Linked DNA regions of Arabidopsis thaliana. The protein of the gene in region 2 interacts with the protein of the main gene of each other region in a pairwise test. Each region holds a gene or a part of one and is shown on either strand. Other genes may lie near its edges.

Region 1 (5,822 bases), on a different chromosome or scaffold from region 2:
TCGCTTATAGAGAGGTGCTGAGGTAAGTGAGCTTTGTTGTATTTGTAATTTACAAAACATCTTACGATGTTCAATACAAGAAATGGCCTTAATTTGATGTTATTATTCAATCATTAGTTATCCAAGAGTTTATACACTTCTTCTACTTTGTATTCGGGTTTGGCTCGGATTTACACTTGTCTGCATCCATTTTACGGGCTTGACAAACATCGAGGAGCATTGAACTTGTTCAGACTAAGTGAAGCATTCTTCGCCTTTACCCCGGTTCATGAGGGACTATGTTTTCGTCAACCGCAACTAATCCTTATGCGTATCTTATATCAGTATATAACTTACGGCTTCTGCAAAGAAGGATTGGTCTCCATTTCCATTTACAATTCAATTCAGACTAAAAAGTTTCAATCTGATGATCCAAATAGTTCAGGATCAAGACTGTTAAACCATTAAATATCAATATTAAGCAAAAACCAGATTCTAACTTGGTGAAATCAATGTGCTTGTAAGGCCAATTAGAGAACCAAAAACAAAATGCAAAATGAATTTTATTACTTGCTTCTGCAGAGTTCGTCACAAAACAATTGTTACAATGTCACAAGAACAGAACATTTTACATATGTATAAAAAAATGAAATAATAAACAACATTTTGTGGCATCTTAACAAGAGAACTGTCGTGTCGGCTGACTACAAAAGAATGTGTTATATGATGGTGGCTTGAATTTTTCTTCTTCGTCTTCTTCTTCTCAAATCTCCCTAGTATTGTTCTATATCTACAAAAGCCCTAAGATTTCTTCTCCTCAGCAAAATTAGAACCAATGAATCAGTAGTGCACACACACTTAAGCCGCCGAAATTCTGGTTTTGATAGGCTTAAGCTTTAATCCCATGCTTTCAGGAGAGAGAAGCTCAGGTGAAATACAAGAAGGGCTAAGTGGACTTCTAGGGCTCTCGGAGAAAAGAGATGGTCTGTATAATCCGTAACCCATCAAGAAATATTCCATTGGGATCAACATTGCATGTGGTTGCTCCTCTGTTACCATTGAACCACAAGCCTGAACCTGATAATATTTCCAAGAAAACATCTATTAGTAGCAAGAAAACCAAACATGTGTTTATATGTAAAGTACAAAGGATGAGGATTCGTTTTCTCAAACCTCAACCAAAGCACAGTATCCTCTATCCAAAGTTGCTGCCATGTGAACAGCTTCTGAGTAGAAAGGAGATTGATCTCCGATGAAGATAAGTGTCCTGCATTTTAGTTTCTTCAATCCACTTGAGATGTCAGGTCTCCTGCAAGAGCAAAGGTTTGGTTTGCATAAAGTTAAAGAAAAGTCAATATTTGACACCATGAATGAATGAATGCTTCTAAGGTAAAGGATTTCGAGGTGTTTGTTGTGTTACCGGTCAATGGCGTCAAGAAATCGCAAAACGTTTATGCCTTGTCTTTCATCAAGCAGCTGAGACAATCACCAAAAGTGCAAGGTGTGAATCACTGATACAGTAAAATCAATCTATTGATGAAACAGAAAAACAACAGAAGAGATAAACACTGACTCTTCTGCAAGCTTGTGCTATATCTGACTCTGGAATCTCAACGTTACCACGGACTTCCTGTAGCAAGCAGTTGCAACCGGTTTAAATAAGAGAAGTCTGGAAATGCAACAAGTGCAGAGAGAGAGCAATGGTAACTGCAGTGAACACACCTTACTAAAATATCTCTGAAGCAAAAATTCCTTTACCACTCCACACATTCCGTAATAATATAACAAGTTTGTGATAACCTTGTTGTAAAACCATTCAGACCAAGACGGCGCCTTGCATAACGGTGAGACAAGAATCAAACCAAGAACCCGTTCTCTATGTTTCATCTGAAAAGTTTTAAAACATAGAAGAGATGATAAACACAGTATTCTTCTGAAGCAATGGGCAATGAGAAGAGAAAAATAAATAGGAACATACCGCGAATAAGGTGAGGATATAAGCACCTGCAGTCACTCCCATACACATCACAACACCAAGGCTGAACAAAAAGCTTATACATTGTTACCCGAAAAACAAAAGTTGAGAACTTCAATAAGCCAAAAATAAGGGATTCCATCGTTACCCGAAAAAGTTGAGAACTTCAAGGATCTGATCTGCCAAGTTTTCAGCAGAAGGGACTGAATCATTAGGACAAATTGGAGCAGCTCCTAACTGCAAGAAAACAGAGAAGTCATGTGAGTAAGTAATCACGTCAAGCAAAGCATACGGCAAGTTAAAAAAAGAGAAACTAAAATATTGGACCTCATGCCCAGGTGGACTGATATGGTAAATGCAGAAGTTATGAAGCAGCAATGAAGCTGCTTCAGGACAGAAGAATAACCCTTGGAAGCATGACATATCTGAAGAAGAAACAACAAAAACATTAATAAATTTAGCCATTACATTAGTGCCTATAGAGATTCTTTAGCCTTACGGTTTAGGGCTAAATCAGGATAAGTAATCAATGCTGGCTTTTCTCTGTCTCCATAGACAATGACAGACACAACACCACTAGCAGTTTTAACACGATGCTCCTGAACACAAGAAACCAACAAGTTATAACAAAAGTAACGGATCATGAAACCAACAGAAAAAAACTAAACTTTTAACCATACCATTTGTCTACTCCATATTCATAAAACATGTGTTTGTAAACAATGAATCTATTTTCTCGTTAGTAAATGTATACTAAAGATAGGAATATGACAACTGACTTTAGGTGGAAAAGAAATGCTTTGATTAACACACACACAAAAAAGAAAACATCTCTGTTAAAGCTTTTCCATGTGCAGCTTTACTACTTTTAAGGGCAAAAAAACAAAACCAAAAACTTGATCATCAACAACCAAAGAGAAATGGCCTAATTCTAATCATTGTGGTTTTTTTTTAATAAAAAGGGAATGACAGTTTAAAAAAGATGAGCTAATATGAGTCTTAATGAGATAATAAAGAAGCATTAGTCTTATTAAACAAAAGGTTAATGGTAGACAAAAACAGCTGGCATTTTCTTTTCTTTTTTCTATAAGATAAAAAAATCAAAAGGCAATAAGACAAAGAATAAGGAATACAAAATAATAATAAGAAGAAGATATCTTTGAATAGAGAGAAGAAGAAGATCCCAAGAATAATCCCATCTGGAAATGAATCATAATAATAAAAGAAGTTTCACAAATCCACAAGCAAAGAATTTCTCCAAGAACATTTGATTCAAACAAAAGATGAGTCTTTTTTTTACAAAAACAAATGAATCTAACAATGCCCACATGTCTGTTCTTCCCCAAATCAACAGAAAGATTAGATTTAAGCAAGTTTAAGATAAACCCAGAAACAAAAATCAAAGCTTTATTCGGATCCGAGTTCAAAGGTTAAAGAATGAAACCTTGCCACCAAGATAGATTGTTCCAACGTCGACGGAGACGGCGCCGTAAGAGTCCGTCATTGGCAACAAAAGCTCTTCCGCTTAGCCGTCACCGTCGCCGTCGTTGTTTTAAGAACGCCGGGATAACAAGAGCTTCTTCTCTTTTCTTCTTCTTCTTCTCCCAACCTCTAGATTGTTTTTTGGCTTTTCTTTAGCTTATATACAAAGCGATGCCTTTTCTCTCTCCTCTCTCTTAAGACCTCTCTGGAAAAAGAAACGTTTTTTTTTCGTTTTCCTTTTTTTCTTCTCTTTCGTTTTACTCTCTCTATAAATTTTGCGGTGATTTCTCCATAGACGCCGGTAGTCGTAACATGACACGCGAACGGTCAAAAAACTTAAAATAAGAAACATTTTTAATTTGATTTATTTATAGAAACTTATTTTTGATAAATATTATTAACCAGCTCGAATTTCACCAATAACAGTCGAATACTAATTCGGAAAAATTGCTGTAAATAAATTGGATAATTGTATAAATGTAAACAAATATTAAATGTTGATAATTGGATAAGTAAGGGAGGTGCGAAGTTTTGGTTAACAACAAAATTAACATTAAGCAAACCGAATATAAATTTTTAGAGACTGTTTAGTTTTATTATTAAAAAAAAAAAGAGAAACCAAATTTTCTAAAAATACTATTACATATAAAAAATTATTTTTATGTAATAATATTAAGAACATCAATATTTAATAAACAATTGTATATTTATACTATTCGCAATTTTTTCACTTTGAGTTGGAAAAAATATATCTTAGTAGAAAATTAGAAATGGACTAATCTTAAACCATCAGATAGGCTTTCAAACATATTCCTATCATAAGAAACATGATGAGTAACACCACTATCTATGATCCATGTATTTTGTGATAACACTTGTCTAGAGGACGTTAGAGAACATAGTAACCATAAAGTCGAAGGTGAGAAAGAGATATCATTGAAAGCAAAACTTTGAAGTGACCAAATCTGCTGAGTTAGCTGATAAGACCTTGGCAAATTCGTAATGTGAAATCTAGTATCCAAGTCTTTCCAGATCTCTGCAGCATCATTGAAACGAAGTATACTCTTATAGATCTGCTTTGTAACAGAATTAAGGATCCTAGATTTAACCATACTGTTGCATCGTGACCACACTCTAAAGCTAGGATCAGATTCAGGAGGTCTTGGTAAAGTTCCATCAACAAAAGCAATCTTATTCTTAACGTTCAAAGAAACAAACATCGCAATCTTCCAAGAAGAGAAATTAGATCCATCAAGTACCTCAGAAACAAGTGTATTCCCAGGACTCACCATTTGAGAGCGCGAATGGCGAATAATGAGCATCCGAGAAGTCGAACTGTGGTAAAGGATAGATCGATGGTTTTGAATTGAAATTTTGTTGAAACGGATTCGAAATTGGTGGAATCGGTGGAATCGGTGAAGCTTGAACACGATCTGGAGTTTTCTCAGCTGAAGTTTTGCTCGATCTTCTAGTACGACGCCGCAATTTCTCTACGGAAACCATCGCAAGATCAACGAAGCTCTAAACAACTGAAATTTTCCAGAAAACGTAGAAAATTGAAGAAACAAAGAATCAACGAGTTTGGAAGATCCAAGAGCTCGAAGATACTCAGAGTTTAGGTTGAATCGGATGAATCTTCGAGATCCATCACTCTGATACCATAATAGTTGATGAACGAATTCAGAGAAATGAAGAAGATGAGAAAAATTTGTTATTCTTCTTAATTGTTCTGTTACATGAAACACTCTTTATATGTAGAGTGTTCCGGTTTAGTAACCGGTTTACATTGTACCAAACAACAATACAATAACCGAATTTATGGTTAATATCTTAAGTTAGACCTATTTCAAAACAAGCCTAATTTTCACAATAGTCAATTTTTTGTTGTTGAATATTTGGCCGAGAACTAGACTTCAATAATGGGGAAGAATAACTAAAATCGGTTCTTTCTCCTCTCCCAAAGTCAACTAGATTCACCAAGAATAACTAACTTTGGTTAATGATTACATGTTCTTAAAGTTATGGATCTTTTGGGAAAAATGGACTATTTGGCAAAAAGAGTGGCAAAAAGAGTGTGAACATAAAAAATACAAATGGGGCGTTCCGAGAATCGAACTCGGGACCTCTCGCACCCAAAGCGAGAATCATACCACTAGACCAAACGCCCTCATTTGATATTTCGTTAATTAGATAAATAATACCTAATAATACAAACTTGAATTGGTCTTGCATTTGGGCCGTTAACAGGCCTTGCTAAGTCATATGTGGTGTGTATTTCTCCATCTGCTATTGATCTCAGTAAAAATTACATAAAGAGAGCCACAAGCTTACTGACTCTCTTGTGTATCGCTCTCTCCGCATTTCCATTAACCCTCCAATTTTCCCG
Region 2 (4,373 bases):
GAATGGGTTTTGTTTGATCTACCTTAATCTCACTTTCATCTTGTTATTTCCAAGTCTAGTTTTGGTGGGTATATATTACAAATATATGTATTGGAAGATTTTTGCTTAGGGTGTGAATGTGTGTTACCTGTTTTGCTCTGCTAGTTTATAATGTTTTAGTGTTTGTTTTTCACTGAAGAAAGTTTTGTAGTGGTGTTGTTTGTCTCCTTCCTCTGCTCCGATTTTGTTCTCTCTTGGTTGCTAACTCATTCTTTCAAACAAACTCCACAAATCAGATTCTTGATATTACGGAAAGGAGTATTATTAACAAAATCATTAGAAAAAGTTATGTATTATTCAATTGAAACTACAATGAATAAAGTCTGATACATTTTTCCAAGATTGAATAAAACTTAGTTTTGAACGAAGTTTATCGTTTAAACTGTGTTAACTGGGGCTTGTAAATTCACAAAATGTTTATAAAGATGGCTTAAGTGTTTATAACGCAACACAATTAAATAAACTAAAGTTTAGTGTACATAAAAAGACTTTTTGTGGCCTATGAAATTTGTTTTTCTTAATGAGGAACTGAATCAAATTTAGAGAAAAGGTGTTCCATAAATTATCAAAAACTCGCAAGTTTACACTGAGAAAAGTCATCAATACAGCAAAATTAAACCGGGAACAAAAGAGTGTGTGAAACGACAGAGCATCAAAAAGCTAAAGTTTAGAAGAAAAAGACATCTCTCGATTTCTTAAGCTCCGATGATTTCAGTAGGTTCCTCAACAGCCATCTCATCAGCCGGCCTGTCTACCTTAACACCAACATCTTCTGCTGAGTAATCTCCGTGAACCTACACCAATTAAACACAAGCATTCAGTTTATATATAACATGGATATTGAACCATAATAAATGTAGTGTTCATTTTCTTCACTCACATCCATGAGCTTGCCAAGGTCGAATTTAGGGGCCTTGAGGATCTTGACTTTACGGATGAAAACATTCTGAAGAGGGTAGATGCCCTGAGTTGCCTTCTCAATCTCCCTGCCAATAGCTTCAGGAATGAACTTAGCAACAAGATCCTTAAGGTCACATGAGGAAGCTTCCCTAACCATGATGTCCCTCATCTTCCTGCGGATCTGAGGAATTCACAACAAAGACATGTGAATTTTTAAGACTTACAATTTGAGAGAAATCAAACAAGGAAGATTAAGAATCATTGACAAAAGGAACCATCTGAGCTCAACAGAAATAACAGATCAAAGATTGCAAAAGTAGGATTCAGTAATAAGAGAAAGAGATCAAGTTCTGTAGTCAGGCCTAACTACAAGTATTGCAGGGGAATGTGTGCGTACCTGACGGATTTGGCTGGATTGAGCGTAGCAAGTCCTCTTGACCTGGTTAGCACGTCTCTTGGTGAAGGCGATACAGAATAGCCTGAGAGTGTAACTGTCGGTGGTTTTAACATCAACATGAGCCTCAATCAAAGTCTGCCACTTCTTAACCAATGACCTAAGTTTATCGGTGGTGAAGTCCATGCCCTAAAGATGATTAAAAAAAACAGTCAAGCTCCACAACCATAATCTGGGTTTTTTAACCAATGACCAGAATTACTGATGTAAATCAATGTTTACAACAAACTATCCTTACCCAGAATTGGCACAGAACGTTCCTGCCCTGGACATCTTCAGCTCTGAGACGGATCTTCCTGTAAGCGTTATCCTCATCACCTTGAAGATCAGCAAGAGAAACCTCAAAAACTCTGTGTTTCAAGCCTTCTGAGGCAATCTGGAAGAGTAAGAACAGACATCATCATCAGTCTCAAAGTCCGTACATGGCACCAATACAACATTTTACACTCAACATGTATAAGAAAATGAATAGTAACATTATAACACAAGATACACAACTGTAACAATCAATCAAGAACCATAAGAATCAGACAAATCAGCTTAATCCTACGAAGAGTATAAGCAGCGAAGTAATTTGAGGATGTATTGTAATAAAGAGAGAGACAGAAACATTACTTTGGTACCCTGAGTTCTGGAAACAAGTGTCTTTCCAACATTCCTGTGAGTGAAGATTGAAGGAGCCTTAACATCATACCAATCTTTCTTGGAGAAAGGATCAACACTGCAACATTCAATTTTCAAAAACAACCAATCAATCACAAATGATAAGATTCATATTCTCATACTTCAACATGGCCACTAATTCATACACATTGTTAAGGAAAACAAGAGAAATAAGATTCAGAAAAACTTACGCCTTCTTCTTTCCTCCCTTCCTACCCTTAGAGATTCTCTTGTTTTTCCTACAGTAAACAAACTCATAGATCAGTGACAAATACTTTAATGATACGAATCAGAGATAGTAGAAATGAGAGGACAATAATCTGAGAGAAAAGTACCCGACGGCCATGGCTGAGGAAAATAGGTCGACGACGAATAGAGAAGAATCAACAATAAGTTTTAACCTAAAATGCTGCTACGGCGCTTCTTCAATTTAAAGTCTTCTTCTAGGGTTTGAGTTTCACACCCAGGATAAACAAAGTTTTGGGCCTTCAAATTTACCAGTAATGGACTAAGCCTAAAGTTGTATTTACTTGCATCTAATGGCCCACTAAGGTGTCCAATATTTCTTTTTTCCACTTGAGTCTGAAATCGATTATAAAACCATACTATATATATGTGAAAAGAAATTAAAAAACAAATACCATACATGATTTTAGGATATGAGAAGTTGTATTTTATGAATTAGTGAAAAATATAGATATTTATTTAATTGTTAGATAAATTGCATGATTTGCTAAAACTTCACAAATTTATTATTAACGTTTAACGTTTAGATTGAATTAGTTTAATTTATTATTTGATTAAACACACCTTAGTAAACCGTATCAGTGATTCAACAATATAGCCAAGTGAATAAGAAAAAAATTATAAGGGTAAAAGAAAAGGAATGAACAAAAGTCTGACTGTAAAAAAGTTTAAACAATACCAAAATACCAAAAAATTGTTTGGGCTCTAGTGCTTTGAACTAAGCGATTTTCAAGTTTCTCAAGGCAGAAGTGAGGAGGTTGAGCTTAGCGGGAGCTTTTTGCTTGTACTCTCGCTCCAATGCAGTTGCAGCCAAAGACTGAAGCTCTGGTGCAGCCATGTCCTTGTCCTCTTTGTTCCTGCCTTTTGAGATCTGTGCGATTGCTGATCCACACTGATTTCAAAAACAGAACATGTATCGGTCATTTTGTCACTTGCATAACCAAAGTGGATTAAACTGGTGTGAGGAAGAAAGGGTTCATACCAAGCATATTCCGAGAAGTGCTCTTGTGCTTTTACCACCTGTCAAGTCTATAGTTGCTGCATAGTACTTTCTTGCTGCGATGAGGTTTTCTAGTCCACCTATTGTGTAGAGAACCTGATTTTGGCGATTGCAACGCAAAATGAAAATTACGTTAATTACACAATCATACATGATCAATGCTGTAGTTTAGAGTTTCGAACTATATAAAAAAAAAACTGCCAAACTTTTAGAATTCTCAGTTTTGAGTTTGATATGTGCAGTGCAAATAATGCAAAGTTCCAGAAAATAGCTCGCTCTTCTATTGCTACTACATTAATAGACATATGAATGACAATGAACTTCCAGTGTAAGATATAAGGAACAACAAAATTGATTATAGGATGCATACTAGATACATTGTCTTAAACAAACTAAGACATTTTGATGCTCCTTGGTGATGGCCAAAATTTGACTTTTTTCTTTAACAAAGCCAGAGAACAATTTTTACTTTTTTTTAACAAATAAATAAAAGATGGGACTTACATCGGCATATGCTAAGTGGTACAATGGAAGAGTAGGCTGAGTTAGTATGAGCTCCTCGTAGCAGAAAGCTGCTTGCTTGTACCTGTTACAGATTATAAATTTAAAGGGGTTATAAAGAGAGCACCCTCAAAATGAAAAACATTTGTTAATCGTTGAGTAGTTAATTGTTTGTCAAATAGAATCTGAGGACAGAGGATAGAGAGACGCACATTTGCAAGGAAACATAAATTTCTGCAAGTTCTCTCCAGGCATCATGATCAGCCATGAATCTATATAAGAAAGAAGAGCATATAAAAGTTATCAGCTGTTTGATATATTTCTTCTAAAGTACTTTCTATCAGTCCAGCTTGGGGTTAGTAAGTACTCACACTTCAAGATACTTGTTCAGATGTTCAATGGCTAAGGAAGATTTGCCTTGTGCCTTGGCCATAGCCACCTTTCTTTTGTGAATTACCTAGACATCGAGTTTGACTTACAACAGTTAACATTTGGAAGTAGCTTGTGGGTAGTTTCATGACGAAAAAATGCGGAAGCTTACTTGATCAAGTGGATTATCCTCCAAAAGGC

What was found. Proteins that work in one complex are often made in the same cells at the same time.
Region 1: the proteins of AT3G04840 (region 2) and NDL1 interact in a two-hybrid assay, tested with the Arabidopsis thaliana proteins (one large-scale study listed by BioGRID).

What each region holds. Positions count from the first base shown.
Region 1 is NC_003076.8:22,955,622-22,961,443, reverse strand, and holds NDL1 (N-MYC downregulated-like 1), read right to left. Parts: upstream 3,816-5,822; 5' UTR 3,459-3,815; coding exon 3,399-3,458; intron 2,936-3,398; exon of another isoform or gene 2,638-2,935; coding exon of another isoform or gene 2,635-2,637; intron 2,554-2,634; coding exon 2,454-2,553; intron 2,380-2,453; coding exon 2,282-2,379; intron 2,192-2,281; coding exon 2,103-2,191; intron 2,019-2,102; coding exon 1,958-2,018; intron 1,867-1,957; coding exon 1,702-1,866; intron 1,610-1,701; coding exon 1,553-1,609; intron 1,456-1,552; coding exon 1,400-1,455; intron 1,289-1,399; coding exon 1,153-1,288; intron 1,057-1,152; coding exon 838-1,056; 3' UTR 528-837; downstream 1-527. UniProt on the Arabidopsis thaliana protein: Interacts with the heterotrimeric G protein beta subunit GB1 and plays an significant role in GB1-dependent regulation of lateral root formation. Involved in a signaling pathway that modulates root auxin transport and auxin gradients.
Region 2 is NC_003074.8:1,327,780-1,332,152, reverse strand, and holds AT3G04840 (Ribosomal protein S3Ae), read right to left. Parts: upstream 2,583-4,373; 5' UTR 2,403-2,582; coding exon 2,392-2,402; intron 2,296-2,391; coding exon 2,248-2,295; intron 2,115-2,247; coding exon 2,009-2,114; intron 1,770-2,008; coding exon 1,632-1,769; intron 1,523-1,631; coding exon 1,337-1,522; intron 1,121-1,336; coding exon 920-1,120; intron 834-919; coding exon 735-833; 3' UTR 511-734; downstream 1-510. Other genes in the region: AT3G04830 (Protein prenylyltransferase superfamily protein), read right to left, coding at 3,021-3,194, 3,285-3,398, 3,807-3,888, 4,016-4,075, 4,175-4,260, 4,345-4,373.